Linked DNA regions of Coturnix japonica. The protein of the gene in region 2 interacts with the protein of the main gene of each other region in a pairwise test. Links are inferred from orthologs where the notes say so. Each region holds a gene or a part of one and is shown on either strand. Other genes may lie near its edges.

Region 1 (4,107 bases), on a different chromosome or scaffold from region 2:
TAGCAGCTGCAATTGTTAACTAAAGTGGTTTGTCACCCCATTCTCCAGCTGTTCCACCACACAAACCTCGTCCTTTCCATGAGAGCACAACTCCTTTAGATTAAAGATGGCACTGATGGGGCTCAGACAACAGATGAGTAACACCAACAGACGCAGTGTGCTTTGCTGCAGGGATTGGCTGAACGTGCTCTGCTGTCTAATGCTGGAGAACTTGGGGTAAGATGCAAAAGAAATGCTGTTCTGTCCTCTGGATTGGAATATTCATTTGAAGCAAAGGGGAAAGAAAACATGCAATCATGTCTGGAGATACACAACAAAAGGTTCAGTTTAAAACATACCATTTCTTTTTAGAACAAAAGAATCTTACTTGATGTCTACCACAACCACGGTTACTTTCCACTAATACATGCATCAAGAAAAAACATTCTTATTCTTCATGTATTTTAATAAAGAGCATAATTTTTCTTATTAGTTGATAGCAATCCCAGTTTTACCCACCATGGTCATACCTGCAGTAACCACTCCAACAGATGCAATCACTACTGTTACTACAGCTGAGTTGCAGACCATATTAACAACCAATTAGAAAAACCATCGTGTAATAGTTTACATAATTCCTTTGGTCTTTATCTCTGCTGGCATAGCAGGATCCCTCTCACGTCATTTACCAGGAGGAATGTTGTGATAATGAATCTAAATTCAGACTGTTCTGAGCGCAAACTTCAAACGTTATCCCCTCTTATAGTCTTACAAATGTCAACACCAATCCTCGGTGAGCACTTTCTACATGAGGCTGACACCCCTTCCTCCTTTTCTTCCCAAGCTTTACACAGCAGTTCCTAGTAGCGCTACTCAGTCCCACAGCACAGGCATAACCTCACCTCTAGGACTCACAAAATGGAGCCAGACGCTCAGATTTCAAAAAAAAAGTGTTTTAAGATCACTTTTCTACTTGCGTCTATTGTGTTTCGGGATGGATTTTGTGCACCACAGTGACTGTTTAGAGCTGGGGCTTCTACAGGCCCAAGCACTCTAACCTGCCCACTCCCCAAGAAGCAAAAGGCTTTCAACATTGGGCCTAATCCCCATTTAGCTGGTCTGAAATAATGACATTTTGAAGCAAAACTTCTGCTCGTTTGCCACCATCCAGAAGGCTGAACACATGATGGGGCTAATCCGAGCCTGACAATTCGCACTGACTCAGGAGACGTCATTATTGCAGAATTTAAATCAGGCTTATTGCAATAAATGCTGTACACACAGCTCCAGGAATTCAGCACACCTCCTAATGCTCCCATTAGTCCCACATTCCCCTGAAGCAGAAGAAAGAACCAGCACATGCTTCATCCTTTGCCCAAGACCATAGGGCAGCAAATGGAAAAGCTAAGAGGGGTGTCTCCAAATTCCATGTTTCCTAATGGGCAGGAAAAATAATCAACGTTGTTTTTAGGCAAGCCGTGTTCAAAATACAGGTGATTTTGATGTGGGTTTCTGCGTGGTTATTTGTAATGCTCCTAAAAACGTATCTGATATGCAACATTTATTATCTATGGATTTTGGCAAAAAGAACGAAGAGAAGCACCTAGCAAGGGCACGGAGCTTATCTCATTACATTCCTTCCTCCTAAGATTATCTCCTATTTGTCTCTTTTAATAGACAGCCAGTTGCAAAACAGCAAAAACCCGAAGCACCCGGCCCCGACTCCTGCATTCAGCTGCTCACAATCCCCTGCCCGCCCCAATCACTCGGATTCCCAACGACTCCCGGCCCGATCCCACAGATGCGAGCAGGAAAATGGGAGGCAGTGAGGGCCGCCCCCCGGCCCCGAGCAGCGCCGCGCTCAGTCCCGCCCCGCGCCGGCGGGTCCCGGTGTGAGCGCAGGGCTGAGCAGCACAATGCTGCGGGAACCAAACAGCGGCTGTGGCCATAAAAAGAGCGGAGCGTTAACGACTGCCCCGGGCTGAGGGCAATGAGTGACGGGCACAGCTGAGGGCACGGAGCACGGATCCCGTACCAACCCGGCATTCCGGGGAGGCTGATGGCGAAGGAAGCCTTCTGATGACATAAATAAACCCGAAATCGTTACAGAATTATTTCAGATATTCTAGAAGACATTATTTCTGGCTCCGTTCCCCCCATTCAGCCCCAAACCCCACCCGCGGTCCCCGCTTCCCCCCCAGCAGCCGCAGAACCCCCACACAACCGCAACCCCCACACAACCCCGCCCCTCCCCGCGGCTCCTTCCCCCTCAGCCGGAAAGGCCCCTCACCGCCTCACAGCACCGCCATACCCCGCCATACACCGCCATACCCCGCCAGTACACGCCATAACCCCGCTCATTACCCCGCCCATACCCCGCCATACCCCGCGATACCCCGCCATACACACGCCAGACACCGCCATACCCTGCCGATACACCGCATACCCCGCCATTACACCGCCCGATACCCCGCCATACCCCGCCATACACCGCCATACCCCGCCATACACCGCCATACACCGCCATACACCGCCATACACCGCCATACACCGCCACACCCCGACACCCCCACGCCGCCCCCCCCTTCCCGGCCCATCTCGGAGGCTCCGTTCCCGGCCGCCCCCCGCTCCCGTCCCCCAGCACAACACGCAGAGCCCCACACGGCTCCAGCCCCGCCTGGCGCCCGTACCTTGTAGAAGGCCCCATTGGAGCCGCGCACTTCCACCGTCAGCTCCTCCATGTTGCGGGCGCAAAGGACGGCGGGACGTGCTTCTAGAAACTGTCACCACGGGGGGGAGCGCTGCCCGGGCTCCCCTCCCCCTCCGCCCGCCCCCCGGGGCCGCTCCCGCTCCGCCCACTGCGCGCCCGGGGCTGCCGGGATCGGCCGGAGCGGGGCGTTCCCTGCGGGGTGCGGGTGGCTCCCGCCTCCCCGGGCCGCAGGTGGCTCCGCAGCCCCGCCCTGGAGCCGCCGCGATGCGCAAATGGCGGCGGTGGCGGTTCGTGCCGCGCGGGTGGCGGTGGGCGCTGCGGGAGTAATGCGGTGTTTGGCTTCGTGTCCTGCTGGGAACGAGCTGCGGCTCATATCGATATACACGTATAAACGGCTGCTGGTGTATCCCTCACCGCAGAATCAGTCCCATATTGAGCCATGAGCTCAGCGCTGTGCGGTAGCTTAGTCATGCAGGGTTGGATAGCAGGCTGTGCCTGCCAAATGCATCTTTTTTTGCAGTGGTTTTAAATATTGATAATGACACCTTCAATCCGCTCGGCTTGGGTGGCCCCGCTAAGCCGCCATCGTGAGCTGCCGTTTACCACCGTGTGGCCACGGAGTGGTTTGGGTTTGGGAGATGGGTGCAGCTAGGGCAGCACGGAGCTGTGGGAAACATGAAGGGAAACGATCCAGAAATTACTGGGGGATAAGAACAACAATAAATGAACCGACAGGCTCTGCTGCTTCCAGAGGACAACACACTTTCTCCACTCTGGCTGCCATCTTTGTTTGGGTATGAGGTAATGCTAAGACAAAATGCAATTCTATTATCTACTCTTTTCCCATCCTGTGTGCCCAGATATTCTCACTATTACATCATAGTTGTTCCACAGGGATGTTGCAGGGTTCCTTTGATTATAAACACTACTTAAATCCTTAGAAATGCCCTGCAGTTTGTGCTGTCACTTGTGCCCGGGCTGTCCCCAGGAGTCCAAACAGGACGCATAGAGAAAACAACCAACCAACAGCACAATGTTTGAGGTGGCTGGGTGTCCGTTTGTGCAGTGCAGAGGACGGTTCTGGTCATTAATGATAAGGAGAACTGGCTGGTGCCAAAGCAATCTGCATCCAGAATTTGCCTGATAACATTTGTTTTTCTGAAAGTACGCACGTGGCAGCAGTGACAGGGGCAGGGTTATTTACAGACTAATACTGAGGCAGATTGCTGCATGAAAATGGAGGTAGATGGGAGTTGTTAAGAGGTTGTGGGCCATGATGGTTTGAAACACAATATCCGGGTGGGAGACAGTGAAGTTCTGAGCCTGAGTTTTAATGTAAATTAGAAGTAACTACTAAATTAAATTAATTATTTACTGAAATATTAAAAGGGAGAATCTTTTATCTCCTCAGTTACAAC
Region 2 (3,979 bases):
AACCCACAGCGCCGCAATGGGATCAGGGCTTTGTCCCTGCCCTGAGGGCACTGCAGAACTGGGGCATCCCTTTGACTCCAGTAATGCCCCTTTAGTGCTGGTGGGTTGTGGGGCTCTGACCACGGCCAAGCACTTCACGCACCCTGCATTGCCCTCCCCCTGCGCGGGGATGCTCAGTGCATCCTCCAGGGCAGTCCCCATCCCAATCCTAATCCCAATCCCAATCCAATCCCAATCCTAATCCCAATCCCAATCCCTATCCCAATCCCAATCCCAATCCCAATCCCAATCCCAATCCCTGACTCCACTCCAATCTCCATCCCCATTCCAATCCCCCCCATCCCAAACCTGTCCCCATCCCCATCCCACGGCCACAGCTCCCACAGTGACAGAGCCCCGGACAGGACAGCACATCAGGGAAAATTTCCAGTCTTCCTCTTTTACAGTCTCTGTCTCCTGCCGCGGAGGGAGCCAACTGGAACAAAATACTCTGTAGAAATACTTCAGTATTTTCCTCTCTCTCGCGCGCTCCCTTTTTCTGGATTGTGAGTACAGCTGTAGATTCAGTGAGCTGGTTCAATTATAATAAAATATACAGTATATATTGTAAATGATGCTGCGGGGCATGGAGCGGTTTCTTTGCATCCCTCCCTCCCACCCCAGCCCCTGGCAGGATGCAGCCCCGCTCTGCAGCTCGGCTGCTTTGATCCCTTTCCATCCTGTTTCCCAGACAACATGGGGCTCCCCCCCACCCCAGCCCCCAGCAAAGGGTTCAGCAGGTGCTGCTGGGGCTGGGGGGACACCCTGAGCTCCCCCTGATGAAAGATACTTCTCCCATCCTTCCTGTATCCCTGTCTGTGCCAAGCGCCCCACAGGGAGGGCTCTCACATCCCTGCACTGAGCACATCAGGGCTCAGATACATCCATCCCCTGGCTGTGCTGCCTCTTAAAAGCAAAGCCTGCACGCTGCAGGAGCTGGGCAGGAAGGGACAGTCAGCCCAAGGCCAGAGCTCAGCCCTGAACAGTCCCAACAACCAGCATCAGCCCTATCAGTCCCCACTGCCCCCATCAGCCACCCACAGCACCATCAATCCCTACTGGTCTCTACTAAACCCCAGCAGTCCACATCCATTCATGTAATCCCTCACTGACCCCCATCAAGCCCTACAGCCTCCATCAGTCCTCCTGACCTCCATCAGCAACGCTGGGCCTTGCTGACCCCCCCACCAAGCCCTATAGCCCCTATCAGCCCCTCTATCCTCCATCAACCCTACAAACCCAGCTCTAGGACCCCTCACCCTGGGGTGCCACATTTCTGGTGGGCTCCAGAAGCTTCTGGCCTGGCAGTGACGCAGCGGGCGCAGGGCTGAGCTCGGGCTCCTGCTCTGACTCATCCCCCCCAGCACTGCGCATCCCGAGGGCTGTTGACGGGAAGGGGAGGGCAGGCTGGGATCCATCCAGCTCCCATCCATCAGCGCCAAGGAGCAGCGCAGGGCGGGCAGCAGGGCTTGCGGCTGCGCGGGGCTGGAGAAAAGCTTCTGGTCCCTTCCCGGGCCCCGCTGCAATTTCCATTAATAGCCAGCTGCGCCTGAAGGCTAAAAATAACCGTGGGGACGGGTTCATAAGGCCCTACAGCCGCTCCACACCATCAACCCCGCACACCATGGCCGAGCGCCGCGTGCCCTTCACCTTCCTCAGCAGCCCCAGCTGGGAGCCCTTCCGCGACTGGTACCATGGCAGCCGCCTCTTCGACCAGTCCTTTGGGATGCCCCACATCCCCGAGGACTGGTACAAGTGGCCCAGCGGCAGCGCATGGCCTGGATACTTCCGTCTGCTGCCCAGTGAGAGCGCCTTGCTGCCAGCCCCTGGGTCGCCCTATGGCCGCGCATTGAGCCGGCAGCTGAGCAGCGGCATCTCCGAGATCAGGCAGAGCGCCGACAGCTGGAAGGTCACCCTGGATGTCAACCACTTTGCACCCGAAGAGCTGGTGGTGAAGACCAAGGATAACATCGTGGAGATCACCGGTGGGTCTGAGAGATGGGGTGATGGGGGTATGGGGAGGGTGTGGGGGATGTGGGGTGGTTGAGGGGATGTATTTGTGGTGGGGGAATGAGGAGAAAATGGAGCATGGTGGGAAAGGGAAGGAGAAAGAAAGAAAGAGTGAGGGAAAGGTGAAAGGGAAAAGGGAGAAGGGGAAGAAGGAAAAGGAAAAAGGGAAATAGGGATGGAAAAGAAAAGGGAAAGAAAAGGAAGGAAATGGGAGGAGAAAGGGGAAAGGGAAAGGAAAAAGGGAAATAGGGAAGGAAGGGAAAGGAAAAAGAATGGGAGAGGAAAGGAAAAGGGAAAGGGAAAGAGAGGAGAGGAAAAGGGGGAAAAAGGGAAAGGAAAGGTAAGGGGAAAAGGAAGAGAGAAAAGGGGGGGGAAAAAAAGATATAACAAATGATAAGCAAACAGAGAAGGAATAGGGTTACAAGTGCATTCCAGGGATGACTCATGATGTACACAGTGTGCTGGCTGCAGTCCCCAGCCCCACACCGCTATTGTATGCAGCCCACGGTAGGAATGTGATGCGTGCCCCATAGGGACAGAGGTGTCAGCGCCATGGGGCAGAGCCAGGCCCCACAGCACCCTGAGCATCCCTGTGTGCCAGGGAGGGGGCTCAGCAAGGGATGCTGTGAGGAAACACAGACCCCATGGCCCAGGGCCAGCAGTGTGCCCTGCCCAACGGGGAGCTGAAACAAAGGCGTTGGAGATGGGTTGGGTCCACCATCACCGTCTGTTTCCTACCCTTAAATTTAAGGGGTGTTCCTGTAGGGATCCAGGTGTCTCTCATCATTCAAGGCTGCATGTAGGGCAAGCAGGACTGCCCTCAACCCAGTGCTGATGGGGCAGGGAAAGGCAAACCCCAAGTGCGGAGACCCAATGGGTTTAACCTTTTGTGCTTTACTCTTTCCAGGCAAGCACGAGGAGAAACAGGATGAGCACGGCTTCATCTCCAGGTGCTTCACCCGCAAATACACGTAAGTACCAGGGTGGGGAGAGTGGGGACATCCAACCTGCCCATCCCCATCTCACACACACACTGGGGTTGTCATTGGCCCCAATGGGGGACGCATAGAAATTAGGGGATTTTCTGACCTCTCCCCTCTCCCCGCAGTCTCCCTCCTGGTGTGGAAGCCACAGCCGTGCGGTCCTCACTGTCCCCTGATGGGATGCTGACAGTGGAGGCCCCGCTGCCCAAGCCGGCCATCCAGTCATCCGAGATCACCATCCCTGTCACCGTCGAGGCCAAGAAGGAAGAACCAGCCAAGAAGTAGGAGGAGGCCCCGCTGCTGTCCCCGACACACACCCCGCACGCCTGCCCCCAGCTCCCACCCCCTTTGTATTTTTTACTTGGTACTCACCCATCACCCAGTGCCTTGAATAAACTTGGAGGAAAAGAGAAAATTGATGGGAATAAAAGTGATAGAAGAAACCTGCCCCGTGTCTGCTGGCCACATCCTACAGCCTATATGCCAAGTTTCACATCCCACACCCCACATCTGGACATGCCAGATCTCTAAAGTCATAGGATTATAGAATCGTGGGTTATCCTGTGTTGGAAGGGACCCATAAAACCCACTGAGTCCAACTGCTGGTTGCACACAGGGCCATGTCCCTGCTTTAACACCCTGGGTGTCAGCACTGTGGGTCTCCAGCATCCCAAGGTCAATGTCCTGGTCTTTCATGTCCTGAGAATCTGACATTTTGGGTCTCCAGGGTCCTGGGTCTCAACATTACACTACTCTACATTACTCCATTTGAGGTCACAACATACTGGATCTCCAACATGCTCCCAGGATCCAGAGTCCCCAGATTTCCAGATCTCCCATCTCCCAGATCTCAGCATCCCATTTCTCCTCCATCCCAGGTCCCTGAACTCCCAGATCTCGTCACTTTCAGTCTCAATATCTCATCATTCCTCCTCTCCAAAGCTCTG
Region 3 (4,003 bases), on a different chromosome or scaffold from region 2:
TTAACACGGTGATTTCTAGAATGAAACACTTCAGCTGTTCAATCACATCTGTATTATACGGACATTAAAGAAAATAAGAAAGCATGCAGTGCTGATATGAAATCACTGCAGAGAACACTTGATGCAGGAATGAAAGAAGCAGATAACTAAAATCTGCAGACACAGGATATACAAACACCTTCAGGTGTGGTATAAGAACGTGGACCAATATGAAAACAGACAAGGGTAAACTGGGTCAGATGGGGACCTGACAAAGACAGGCAGACTGAAACAAAGGATAAATGCTTTGAAAAAGTATTGCCAATCCAGGTTCTTCAGGTATACACCAGCTTTTGTAATTTGTGATGTGGAGATGACAGCTAGTTTTGTTAAACCCCACAAAATGCAAAGAACAGTCATTTACTTTATTGAGTTTTGAACAGCAAGATCTCGCGTTAATGTAGTCGCATTCCAAATCTGATAGTGTAATTATCTGAAGTTAGCGATAAGGAACAACTGTGCCGTAAGTCAGAACACTCAGACACTCAAAGGACGGGTTCAAGCTGGATATCAGCAATGGGTTCTGCCCCAGAGGGCGGTGGACACTGAACACGCTGGGGCTCAAGGGTAGTTTGGACACTGCTCCCAGACATAGGGCTGGGATTCTGGGTGGTGCCGCGTGGAGCTGTGTTGGACTCGGCAATGCTTAGGAGTCCCTTTCAGCTCGGGATATTCTATGATCCCACGTTTCCATGCAGGTCGCTGTGCCCTCAGTGCACATCACCCTCCCGCAGCAGATCTGCCCCAGGCACGTTTCCATCAGCCCCGCTCAGCCCTCCTTGCTGCAGAGGGTTAGGCCGCGCTTCGCTATCAACCTAAATGACTTTATGGCAGTTTTCCACCGGTACCTACTGGACAAAGTTCAGCTCGACGCCGCAAGCAGAGCAGGGAGGGAGACCCGACCATTTCAGCATTAAGACCTGGGAGCACGAGGGGCAGAACGGGGCACACACCCCGTCCTGCAGGTCGCCCTCCACAGCCCCACAGCCCCACTGTGCCCCGTGTGTGTTCCAGGAGCTCATGGCCCCGCTCAGGATCCCCCTATTCCCGGGCCTCACCCTCCGCAATGCCGGGCCCGCTCCTCCCGCAGCCCCTCTCAAACCTCCCCCACAGAGCCCAGCCTCCGTCGGCCGCGACCCCAAACCCTCGCGGCTCGGCCCCGACCCCACCGCAGAAGGATACGAAGTATACGGAGAGGAAGATGAGCGCGCAGCAGTCGATAAGCGAGAAGATGAAGACCACCGACTCCATCCCGCTGACCTCCCGGCCGCCGTACGCCCCGCCCGGGCCCCGCAGGCCCCGCCCCGCCGCACGGCTCGCCGGGTACCGGAGTCCGGCTGCCTTTAGGGCGGCCGTTCCACGCGTGGCGGCGATGCGGAGCCGGCCGGGCTCCTTCGTGGACCTGAGGCTGAAGCAGCGCGTGAAGCAGGTTCGTACGCGGCCCTTCCCCTCAGCGCCTTGGAGCGGGTCGGGGGCTGAGGGGAGAGGCCTTGTCTTGTTGTACCGTCGGTTCTGGCTTCCTGCCGCCCTTCTGGCCTTAGGGTGGTGCTGAGCCTCAAACAGGCAGATTCGGAGCAGCCGCTGTGGTGAAGTGAGTGATCAGGGTCTGACTGGCCTCACGATGTGTCTCGTTTCAGTACCTCGCGAGCAGTAAGTGCGGCCATTATGTGGATATCGGGATCCTGGCCTCTGATCTGCAGAAAACCTACAGGTGAGAGGGTCGGTGTGGTGGTATTCCACGCTCGGGATGTAAAACGTATCGTTTTGTATTTGTGTGCTGTCAGAATTCTAATCTGAAGTCACTTTCTTTGTCAGTTGTTGAGGTTCATTGTTTTCCTCTGCTGATATATCAACTAACTTCCATTGTTTCATGATGTTAGTTCTGTAATTCATCTGTTACTGATGCAGATGCATTACAGCATCCTCACCATACAGAGCTGGGAATATGAGAGAAAATAGCACTTGGGTGCAGGCTGTAGGACAGCGAGAGTTCTGTAGGACAGCGGGACAGTCAGTCCTACCAAATTATTTGCCAGCTGTTTGCATTGTAGGGAGAAAAGTTGTGTTCCAGCAGGTCCTGGATGGATGTGGGAGTTAAAGGGAGGTGGAGAAGGATATTATTATATATATTCATTTATGTTTGCACAATCTATTTTTTAATGTCTTGTTAGAGAAAGGGTGATAGAACAAGGGGAAATGGCTTCAAGCTTAAAGAGGATCTTTAACACTGAAGGTGGTAAGGCACTGAACAGCCTGCCCAGAGGGCTGGTGGTTACACATTCCTGGAGACTTTCAGGGCCCTACAAGGGCCAGGGCCACTAGTGTTACTGTGATATAAAATCCATCGTGCTCACCTGTATATTCTGTCTCTCTATAGCTAAAGAAGGTTAAGTAATTTTTACTAAAGATCCACTTAGAGACCAAGATATCCCAGTGTTCTTTTCATCCCAGTGGTTGTCCTGTTCTGGGCTTAAGAAAAAATAATTGTGAGTTCAGGTTGGTTCTTAATAAGAAGTTGTGTAAAAGTTTGGCTGTCGACTTAAAACAACAAGATGTCATGCATTGTGTTGTTGTTTTTCTTTTCCAGTACTGAATACGGACGAAGAAAACGAAATGCTTTCAGAATACAAGTTGCAAAAGGTAGTTCTGTCAGTGTTACGTCCACCGTGCCAGAGTTTTTGGTTATACTTTGGCTGTTCTGTTAACGTATTTAAACTTTTCCTTCAGTGTTTGGAATAATCAGCAATGAAAAGAAAAAAGAAGATTTAACAGCTTTAGAAGCTGAACATTTGGCAAAAAGAGCAAGGCATGAACACAAGAGAAATGAGTAAGAAGAATTTTTACCATTTGATAACTGTAGCACTGCCCTTAATATTTAGCACTTTAAAGCTTTTTGTCTCTATTATTAAGGTTTGGTAGTTCACAGGTTATAGATCAGTCCTTAAATTCCTCTAGGCTTGTCTTCCATGCATATGTTAAAGAGTAGATCATAATTTCTCTGCTGTAGTAAATGTATGGCCCTGAATTACTAGATAATCCTTAAGGCTTCCTGATAGTTTTCTATGTGGTTAAGTTCCTTTGTTTTGTTTTGTTCTTAATCTTTAATGAGTGTTATATATATTATCGAAATCTGTGGGAGAAGGCTACAGGAGAAGCTATTCTGAGTAAACCACCACTAGCATTAAGGCTGGCATTAAGATTCCTAACTCCTAAATTTATGCGTGGTCTCATGGAAGGTTGTGTTTTCCAACCTGTGATAAACATCAAGGATCTTAAGAGCAATTAAGACATTGTGATCAGAAGGACTAATATAATTCAGCAGTGACTTACAGTAGCTTCCCTTGTGCTAGCCTTGGTGATTGTGAGGTTTCATGGTGAACTGGATCACATTGGTGCCACATCCCTGCCTATCTGTAGGACTGTCTTTCAGCCAGGATACTGGGTTGATCCAGCTCATTGCAGCAATGGAAAGAACGTGTTTTTAGACTTTTCCCAGTAGTAAATTTAAAATACAGTTTGTTTCCACTCTTTTCCTGTGTTTCTTAATTGCAGGGAACGATGTTCTGAAAATTGCATTTGTTCTGTTTTGCACGTGTCTCTTTTTCAGTTTTTCTCTGATACATTACGTTTTTGTCTTCTTACCATGTAAAGGACTACAGGAAGTTCCACAGAGGATTCAGAGGATGATGATTATCCGGAAGATTTAGTAAGTTGTATTAAATTATGATTGCTTGTATTTATGTAACATGTGATTGTGTTTTGTAAAGTGGCAGTGAAAGATTAAAAATAGAGCTTAAAAGTGGCTAATTTCCAACAGTAAAGGAAAAAGCTGTGGTGGGGAAGCACTCTTTAAGAAAGCACGATGGAGGCCCAGAAGAGTTGGCCATCGAATGATTGAAGTGATTGACGGAACTGACACAGCTGACTATTACTGAAATGATAACTGTCAGCAAACTAATGGGTT
Region 4 (4,106 bases), on a different chromosome or scaffold from region 2:
GTGACACCCCATTTCCACCTCAGTGCCCCCCTCCCACCCCGGCGCTCCCCCCCGTCCCCCCCGTTACCTGGTACCCGCAGCCCGCGGCCGCCGCCGCCCCGCACAGCAGCAGCAGCAGCGCGGCCCGGAGCGCCGCCATGTCGTTCGAGCGCGCGGTCATATGACCGTTTGATCACGAGACCAGGGGGGTGGAGGACTTCGCTTCGCCCCGCCCACCCGTCAAGCGGGAGCCAATGGGCGGCCGCCGCGGCACCGCGCCCCGCTCTGATTGGCTGTAGGCGACGTTAGAGTGACACTCGCCGCTTTTCCGTTACCAACGGTTCCCTAAATCCCGCCCCCGGCGGCACGTGATTGGCAGAGCCAGACTGACAGCGCTCTCCTCCAATGGAGCGTCGAGTAGCTTCCAGGTGGGGAACGCGTCCCCTCCCGGTTCACCCGTCCCCGCCATTGGCCCAGACCTGCATCTCCTCCTTTGTGCCCGGTGTCCTCCAGCTCCGCACATTCCCTCTTTTAGGTCCCCTGAGCCCCCAGAACAGCAGCGTTCCCTCTGCACTGGGGCTGGGCCCTGGCAGGTCCGTGAGTCCAGAACAACAGCAGCTCACAGCCACAGCCCCCCTTTAATTGCACAGCCCCCCTTTAATTGCACAGCCCCCCTTTAATTGTACAGCCCCCTTTAATTGTACAGCCCCCCTTATATTTGTACACCCCCCCTTTAATTGTACAGCCCCCCCCTTTAATTGTACAGACCCCCCTTTATTTGCACAGCCCCCCTTTAATTGTACAGCCCCCTTTATTTGTACAGCCCCCTTAATTGTACAGCCCCCTTTATTTGTACAGCCCCTTTAATTTGTACAGCCCCTTTAATTTGAACAGCCCCCCTTTTAATTGCACAGCCCCCTTATTTGTACAGCCCCCCCTTTAATTGTACAGCCCCGTTTAATTGTACAGACCCCCTTTAACGTTGTACCAGCCCCCTGTTATTTGCACAGCCCCCCTTAATTTACAGCCCCCCCTTTAATTGCACAGCCCCAGACCAGGAGCTGTTCTGTCACCACGGCGGGGACATGGGCTGCGGGTTCTGCAGGTACGACATCACCACGGCAGAGATGGAGAGCCTGAGGGGGGAAAGCAGCGTCAGGGGGTAAAAGCAGCGTCAGAGGGTAAAAGCAGCCCCCGTCCCCCATCCCCCCCCCGTCCCCATTGCTCACATGAAGCTGCTCATCATCTGCTTCGTGTCCTCGGAGCTGCGGGAGTTGGCAAAGCTGATGAAGGAGCAGTAGACAGCGATCCACGCGCACCACTTCAGCTGCAGCACCAGGAAGGGACGCTCATGGGAACCCCAACACACCCCAGCTGGTGTCAGGATGCCCCCACACTGACACCAGTCCTGGTGGGTCTTTATGGTGCCCCCTCAGCCTGGTCCTGGTCCCAGCACCGTCCCACTGTGATCTGGGTAACTCCTCCCTGGCCCAGTTTTGGTTCTTATGGGCCGTTCTGTGCAGTGCTGCTCCCAGCAGTTCATTCTGAGTCTAATCCTGGCCCTGCTGGATCCCCCCGGTTCGTCCCGTTACTGTTTTACCCCTCCCAGCTCTCAAGTCTCCCACTGACCCGGTTCTGGTGCCGTCTCTTCCCCGGTCCCGGTGCTGGTTCCGATTCTTCCCACTCTCCTCCCATCTCACCAGCTCCCTCCTTATGAAGCCTCACTCCAGGCTCCGGTAATTCCTTCCCGGTTCCTTCCCGGTTCATTCCCGGTCCATTCCCCCCCCAGCCCGTTCCCGTTCCCGTTCCCGTACCTTGAGCATCAGCCCGCACATGCTGAACACCATCCCCAGCAGGTTCATGTAGTCCGGTGTGGGATCCTCCAGTGCCGGGTTGCTCTCGGTGCTGGGCGGTTTGTACCTGCGGGCGGGGCCGTGAGCGGGGGAGGGGACCCGGTACCCGGTACCCGGAACCGAACCCGGACCCGAACAGCCCCCGGTTCCCCCCCCCCACTCACCGCGTGACCCGCGCGGGCCGCCGTGGATCGACCATTGCGGCTGTTCAGCGCTACGAGTGCGCCGGTAAACTTCCGGTGTTCTCGCCGGAAGTGTCCGGCCTCCACCTTCCGCCTCCTGAGCTGTTCGTTCCGTTCCGTTCCGTTCCGTTCCGTTCCGTTCCGTTCCGTTCCGGTGCAGCCATGGCGTTCCCGCAGCCCCGGCCGGCCCGGCCCGAGCTCCCCCGGAAGCACGTGCGGACCATGGAGTGCGGGCAAGGAGCGGTGCGAGCCGTGCGCTTCAACGGTGAGAGCGGACACGGGGCCGGGAGCGACACGGGGGGGGCAGCTCACATCGCGGCGGGTGGGCGTGGGCGGCCCCCCCCCCTCCCACAGCCCCCCCCCCCACGGCCCCCCCCTCACTCGGCCCTTGTCGGTGTGTCCGCCATCAGCGGACGGCAATTACTGCCTGACGTGCGGCAGCGACAAGACGCTGAAGCTGTGGAACCCGCACAAGGGCACCGCGCTGCGCAGCTACCAGGGACACGGCTACGAGGTGCTGGACGCCGCCGGGTAACGCTGGGGAACGGGGCCCCCCCGCTCTGCACGGAGCCGCACCGGAGCCTGACGGGGTGTGTGGGGGGGTGTGGGGGTGTGTGTGCCTCCCCAGGTCCTTTGATAACAGCCAGATCTGCTCCTGTGGCTCCGATAAGACCGTGGTGCTCTGGGATGTGGCCAGTGGACAAGTGGTTCGCAAGTACCGCGGGCACGCGGGGGTGAGTGTGGAGGGGGGGCAGGAGTGGAGCAGGGGAGCAGCGGGACGGGAACACACAGCACCCCCCACCCTGTGTCCTCCCTGCAGAAAGTCAACTGTGTGCAGTTCAATGAGGAGGCCACCATCATCGTGTCTGGTGAGGAGAGACCACTGCTGTCCCCCCCGTCCCGACCCCCCCCCCACAGGGGTAGTGATCTGACCCCCCCTCACTCACGCACCCCTTCAGGCTCTATCGACTCCACGGTGCGCTGCTGGGACTCCCGCTCACGCCGCCCTGACCCCGTGCAGGTGTTGGATGAGGCCAAGGACGGCATCTCCAGCCTGAAGCTGTCAGCCCACGAAATCCTGACGGGGTGAGGGGGGGCAGAAACCACAGGGATGGGGATGGAACCCCCCCCCCCCGGTGCTATAAATCCTCTCCCATCCAAATCACAGGTCTGTGGATGGCCGCGTGCGACGCTACGACCTGCGTGCGGGGCAGCTCTACTCTGACTACGTGGGGAGTGAGTGATGAGGAGACCGACTGCAGGGAGATGGGGAGGGACACCTAAATTCCCCTCTCTCCTTCCAGGCCCCATCACCTGTGTCTGCTTCAGCAAGGATGGGCAATGCGCGTTGGCTGCCAGCCTGGACTCCACACTGCGCCTGCTAGACAAGGAGACGGGCGAGATGCTGGGCGAGTGAGAGCTGGGGGGCTACAGAAGGGGTGGGGGGTTAAAGAAGGGGTTGGGGTCACTGATGTCCCCCCCCACAGGTACACCGGGCACCGCAGCTCATCGTACCGCCTGGACTGCGTGATGAGTGAGCAGGACACACACGTGGGCAGCGCCTCTGAGGATGGCAACGTTTACTTCTGGGACCTGGTGGAGGTCAGCCCCTCCCACACACACCTCCCCCCCCCCCCCCCCCCCCCCGCCCCCCCTTGCCTCCCATCTCACATATTTTCCTTCTCACCCCCTCCTTCCCAACAGGGCTCCCTGGCACTGACATTGCCCGTGGGGCATGGGGTGGTACAGTCCATTGCCTTCCACCCCACCCTGCCCTGCCTGCTGGCTGCCAACAAAGGCTGTGTGCAGCTGTGGCGTGAGGACGGCTTTGAGGGGGACACCACCACCACGTGACAGCCCGAGGGGGCCCCTTTGTGCCCCCCAGAACCTTCAGAAATAAACCCCACAGTGTGGAGACGCTGCAGCGCTTTATTGATGCCAAAATAAATAGAAGTGCAGGGGTGGAAGGATGGGGTGTGGGGATGGAGGGACAATACCAGGGCCCTGCTCGCCCCAGGGCAGGCTCAGCTCCCCAGAGTGAGGGATCTGACCCCCCCAGCTGTGGGCTCAGCCCCCCCTGGGGCATGTTTCC
Region 5 (4,293 bases), on a different chromosome or scaffold from region 2:
CATAGTCTTTGTGACATCTTTCAGATACATCCAGTTTGGATATAGGATGGTGTGTGCATTTGATGACTTAAACATCGTGTGACTATTAATCATAGCTACAGCACTGGCATTTTATGGAGTTCCCAATGGCACAGCTGCCTCAGCAGGTACCTACAGACATCATTACACCAGGGTGTTGCAGTAACAGTACTAAGAAGACGCAAAGCCTGCAGCACAGTCATCCTGCTGGCTTTTACATTCTAAAAATAGGCAGAGCCCACTGGAGAAGTGATGAGGTAGGGCCAAGCGTAAGTGTCTGGCAAGTTCAAGATTATTACAAGCTTTACACGAGTATAAAGATTTACGTTAGACAAGCTCTAAATAATTAATTTGAGCCATCAGAAAATTTAAGAATCTTGTCAGGGCTGTCATCTCACCTTCATCTACATCCAGAGAAACTGCAGGAGAGAAAAGTCACCTTCAGCAGGGAAACTGACCAAGCTGCTTTAGACACCATTGTAAGCATGAAAGGAATGATTATCTGTATGTGCCTGATTTCCACCACTGATTCAAGGCAGCCTGGACATTAGTTCACCAATATGTTTGATATTTAGATGATTATTGATCCAAATCCTACTCCAAACAAAACAATTGTATTTCACTGCAACTTAAGGGAGTGAAAGAGTTAATACCAAGTGCTACTGAGTGTTGTTCATGCTCACACTAACATGACTAGAACGAATACTGTAGGACTGAGTCTGAACATACCATTCCACTCCAGTCAGCAATGGGGACTGCAGATTTTGAAGTCATGCTGAAACGCAGTAACTCCATCCTTTGGAGAAGCATTGCAACCATGCAGTTTTGTTACATTAATTTCAGCTTTCCTTGCCCTCTACATCTCTGCTTCTATAGGCCTTGCCTGTACAAGAATCCTCAATTAATCCACCATTAACTGCCTCCTGCTGCTGGCACATGTAGATTAAAGCCGTGCCGATCATTACAGGAATGGCAGCAGAAGCACAACCAGCACTTTTCCAACGGGAAACCTTCACATACAGCTCCGTATTATTGTCAAATACAGAAACCACCTCAACAACCTTCCTGATTCTTTAACTAAGTACCTACTTCAACCATTCCTTTTTGGGGTGAGAGGGCAGAGCACAGCCCCATAGAAAAGGACCATATGAGCCAACAGTGTGTCCCCACAGCACAGAAAACCAACTGTATCCTGGGCTGCATCCACACACCATGACCATCAGGGTGAGGTGTAGGAATGACCCGACCCCCCTCAGCCCCCTGCCCACATCTCTCCCCTCAGCGCTGGGGGCGGCGCTCAGATGACGTCACCTCCCCCGAGCTCCCGCCCGGCGCATGCGCGGTTCGCTCTCTCAGGGTGATGTAATACCTCCCCGCCCCCACCTTCGCAGCCCCAACATCCGGGTACTACGAGCGCGCTCCCGCCTCCCCCTCCCCTCCCCGCCGCTCTTTCGGCGCATGCGCAGAAGCGACGAGGAGGAGGCGGTGGCGGTGGCTGTGCAGTGCGTGCGCGAGCGCGGCGGGGAGACGCTCGTTGGCGCTGCGCGGGTGGGCGCGGAGCTCGGGAGGGGAGCGGGGACAAGGAGGGGGGGGGTCGGCGGCGGCCGAGCGGAGCGGAGCGGGAGGCGAGATGAGCGCTGGGCTCCCCGTGGGCAGCGAGCCGCCCTCGGCAGCCGCCGCCTGTGAATGAACTGAGGCGAGGCCGCCCCCCCCTTCCTCATCCTCCTCCTCCTCCCCTGCTCTCCCCCCCTTCCCCTCCCGACACACCGCCGGGAGCGCGGCCGTGCCTCGCCGCCGCAGCCGGTGCCGTCCCCGCCGCGGCCCGGAGGGGGTAAGTGGTGCGGGGCCGGGCTGAGGGGGGCGGTGAGGCGCCATCCCGGGTGGGGGGGCGACCTGAGGGGCCCTGAGTGCGGCTGGGCGCTGGGCTTGGGGCGCAGGCGGCGGCCTGGCGCAGGTAGCAGCGCGCTGCCCTCTCCTCTCCTCCCCCCTCCCTGGGCCGCTTCAGAGTTCATTTAATAATGGCTATAAACAGCCTCCTCCTCTCCCATCGCCACCCAAATGCTTGAGGCACGGCGCTGGGAGGGGAATAGAGAGAGGGGGGAAAAAAAAAGCACGCATCTATTTATAAAGCACCCCACCCTACAGCGAGGGTCGGAGCATCGGGCGCTCCCCGAGCGCTGCCGTGATGCGGCGGGTGGGTTCCCCTCGGCGGCGCCTTTAGGGCGTTTTAAACTTTGAAGGAGGTTTATTTCACCGCCTTTGGAAGCGACGTCGTGTGAGCAAAGGTTGCGGTGTGGCTGCGGAGATGGAGCCTTCGCAGCTGAAAGTTGTGCGGTGCTACGAAGCTCCGCTCCAGAGCTACATCCAGCCTCCGGCCTTGCCTTGGACTGAGGAAGGCACAGGGCTGGGTCGTCGTTTCAGAACCTATTTCGTAGGCATCTCGTAGATATCTGCGTGTTTGTTTTGCGCACGTTGAAATGTTTCAGTGCCGTGCCACGGGTATGGCAAAATCCTGCTGTTGCAAAACCACCTAGTGCTCGTGAGGAACTTAGTTTTGCGCCGTACCTTTTGTCAGATGAGGAAATGGTGGTTGTGTGGTCACCATAAGGCTGCGTGTGTCACGCTGAAGAATTATTTTCCTCCTTTGAAGCAGATGGCAGTCTTAAATGAAATCCTGTGAGCAACAGGCTTTAGCTCTGTCCTCTTTGGTGGTAGGCGATTTTCCATAGATCATGATGGATAATGACAGAGTAAGTAGAATCATCTTGTGAAGCAGAGAAGTTCTAACCCTTGTGATTCTAGGAACTTACTTTGCAGATAGGATCAGTGTGACCTTTTGCTTATTCTCTACACGTACTGCTTCAGTGCCCAGGTGGCTGCTGAAGGATTCATGAAGCCCCCCATGAAATTAAAGGTAACTGCTGTGCTCACGACCCTGTGTGAATTGCCAAATTAACAGGCATTAATTGTGCAAGTTCTACCCACGTTTCTTCTCCGACAGCTTTTCTTTTGATACTATTCCTAGGTTTTCTATGAATAAGATCAGAGACAGGGAAGGGGTGGAGGAAAACATGGGTCAAGGAAGTTGTACTCCTTCCCTGTGTGATCAAAGGAGAGATAGTGAAGAAGAATAGCTGTGCTAGGTGTACCAGCCATCTCTCACCAGGGCAGGGAGAGCTGCTCTCAGACCTTTTCCCTCCAGGCCTGTCTTCCTGGGCGTGCGTTTTGTACATGGGGCTGCTCTAAAAGTAAAAGTCTTGCTGATGCATTATGCCAATTACTAATTTCCTCACAGTCACATTTATCTGATGAAACCCTCTGCTAACTGTAGTTTGTACTGGAGACATCTGGTCTGTGCTCTCGCTGTCTTCAGATGGAAGGGTGTTTTGCTAGAGGGTAGGCACAGCTTAGCTCTGGCCAATACGTTTAGTCCTTTAGTTGTCTTCTGGTAAACGTTTCTCATTGAGGTGCAGTAGAAAACTCTACCTGTTTTCCAAGTGCTTCCTTAGCTGTCTGGAATTAAGCTTGAGAGACTTTGGAAACAAGGAGGAGAGATGGAAGTGCCAAAGGAATGGCAAAGCTTGCAGGTCTAAACAAGCCGAGCTCACTTGGTGCAATTTGAATTAAAGCAGAAGACAAAAAAAGCCTTTTCTATAAAACCAAGCTGGTTGCTTCTTATCTGGAGCGCGTTTTATATGGTGAAGTTGAGTCACTCGTGCTGAGAGAGCGTTTGAAGAACTGTCGTTAAAAAGCTTAGGTACTTTGGCACAGTGTGATTTGCAAACTTATGTAACTGGTATGGTTTTGAATGCAGCTGTCAATATGAGATCTGATTGCACTTGTCCCTTTAGAGTGGAACTAGGAATTTAAAGGAACTACTTTCACTTAATGACCTAAATGTAGGTAATTTAAGAATAGCACATTTCATACTAAAATATCGACTTTGATATTGGTTTTGTCATTACATGCTCTGATGCTCATGTAGAAACATTAGCCAGTGCTAATGTCAAAGTGCATTTACATAATTACAAGTTATTTACAAACAAGCAAATTTTGGAATGGGAAGTTCTGCAAAATAACTAGATTTGTTTTGTCTCTGCAGACCTGCAACTCATTTTAATAAGGCTTGAATAATATTGTTTGAAGTCAAGACAACAGCAGCTTAGCAGAGCTACACCTGAGCTATGCAACGTGCCTTGCTGCTATTGCATACTGTGCTATTGCGACTGTTGCTCCTCCTTTCTCTTAAACCATGTCTCACTCCTTTCCTCGATC

The links. The genes of interacting proteins can lie anywhere in the genome.
Region 1: the proteins of HSPB1 (region 2) and FXR1 interact in a two-hybrid assay, tested with the Homo sapiens proteins (2 studies listed by BioGRID and IntAct). The link is inferred for Coturnix japonica from reciprocal best matches to the Homo sapiens genes HSPB1 and FXR1.
Region 3: the proteins of HSPB1 (region 2) and NVL interact in binary tests that used the Homo sapiens proteins (3 or more experiments, as listed by UniProt). The link is inferred for Coturnix japonica from reciprocal best matches to the Homo sapiens genes HSPB1 and NVL.
Region 4: the proteins of HSPB1 (region 2) and WDR83 interact in binary tests that used the Homo sapiens proteins (3 or more experiments, as listed by UniProt). The link is inferred for Coturnix japonica from reciprocal best matches to the Homo sapiens genes HSPB1 and WDR83.
Region 5: the proteins of HSPB1 (region 2) and PPM1A interact in a two-hybrid assay, tested with the Homo sapiens proteins (2 studies listed by BioGRID and IntAct). The link is inferred for Coturnix japonica from reciprocal best matches to the Homo sapiens genes HSPB1 and PPM1A.

Annotation. Positions count from the first base shown.
Region 1 is NC_029524.1:15,057,229-15,061,335, forward strand, and holds the start of FXR1 (fragile X mental retardation syndrome-related protein 1), read right to left. Parts: upstream 2,801-4,107; 5' UTR 2,721-2,800; coding exon 2,670-2,720; intron 1-2,669. UniProt on the Homo sapiens protein: mRNA-binding protein that acts as a regulator of mRNAs translation and/or stability, and which is required for various processes, such as neurogenesis, muscle development and spermatogenesis.
Region 2 is NC_029534.1:3,162,856-3,166,834, reverse strand, and holds HSPB1 (heat shock protein beta-1), read left to right. Parts: upstream 1-1,483; 5' UTR 1,484-1,663; coding exon 1,664-2,024; intron 2,025-2,956; coding exon 2,957-3,020; intron 3,021-3,157; coding exon 3,158-3,317; 3' UTR 3,318-3,479; downstream 3,480-3,979. UniProt on the Homo sapiens protein: Small heat shock protein which functions as a molecular chaperone probably maintaining denatured proteins in a folding-competent state. Plays a role in stress resistance and actin organization.
Region 3 is NC_029518.1:15,291,264-15,295,266, forward strand, and holds the start of NVL (nuclear valosin-containing protein-like), read left to right. Parts: upstream 1-1,203; 5' UTR 1,204-1,221; coding exon of another isoform or gene 1,222-1,240; coding exon 1,241-1,468; intron 1,469-1,676; coding exon 1,677-1,750; intron 1,751-2,626; coding exon 2,627-2,679; intron 2,680-2,766; coding exon 2,767-2,866; intron 2,867-3,690; coding exon 3,691-3,745; intron 3,746-4,003. Other genes in the region: CNIH4 (protein cornichon homolog 4), read right to left, coding at 404-472, 1,222-1,290. UniProt on the Homo sapiens protein: Participates in the assembly of the telomerase holoenzyme and effecting of telomerase activity via its interaction with TERT. Involved in both early and late stages of the pre-rRNA processing pathways.
Region 4 is NW_015439889.1:96,215-100,320, reverse strand, and holds WDR83 (WD repeat domain-containing protein 83), read left to right. Parts: upstream 1-1,306; 5' UTR 1,307-1,390; intron 1,391-1,793; coding exon of another isoform or gene 1,794-1,899; intron 1,900-1,996; coding exon of another isoform or gene 1,997-2,031; exon of another isoform or gene 2,032-2,105; intron 2,106-2,174; 5' UTR 2,175-2,176; coding exon 2,177-2,279; intron 2,280-2,424; coding exon 2,425-2,545; intron 2,546-2,642; coding exon 2,643-2,748; intron 2,749-2,834; coding exon 2,835-2,883; intron 2,884-2,973; coding exon 2,974-3,100; intron 3,101-3,182; coding exon 3,183-3,250; intron 3,251-3,318; coding exon 3,319-3,427; intron 3,428-3,501; coding exon 3,502-3,616; intron 3,617-3,718; coding exon 3,719-3,868; 3' UTR 3,869-3,929; downstream 3,930-4,106. Other genes in the region: MAN2B1 (lysosomal alpha-mannosidase), read right to left, coding at 68-160; WDR83OS (protein Asterix), read right to left, coding at 1,049-1,115, 1,209-1,306, 1,794-1,899, 1,997-2,031. UniProt on the Homo sapiens protein: Molecular scaffold protein for various multimeric protein complexes. Acts as a module in the assembly of a multicomponent scaffold for the ERK pathway, linking ERK responses to specific agonists.
Region 5 is NC_029520.1:49,583,001-49,587,293, reverse strand, and holds the start of PPM1A (protein phosphatase 1A), read left to right. Parts: upstream 1-1,493; 5' UTR 1,494-1,849; intron 1,850-4,293. UniProt on the Homo sapiens protein: Enzyme with a broad specificity. Negatively regulates TGF-beta signaling through dephosphorylating SMAD2 and SMAD3, resulting in their dissociation from SMAD4, nuclear export of the SMADs and termination of the TGF-beta-mediated signaling.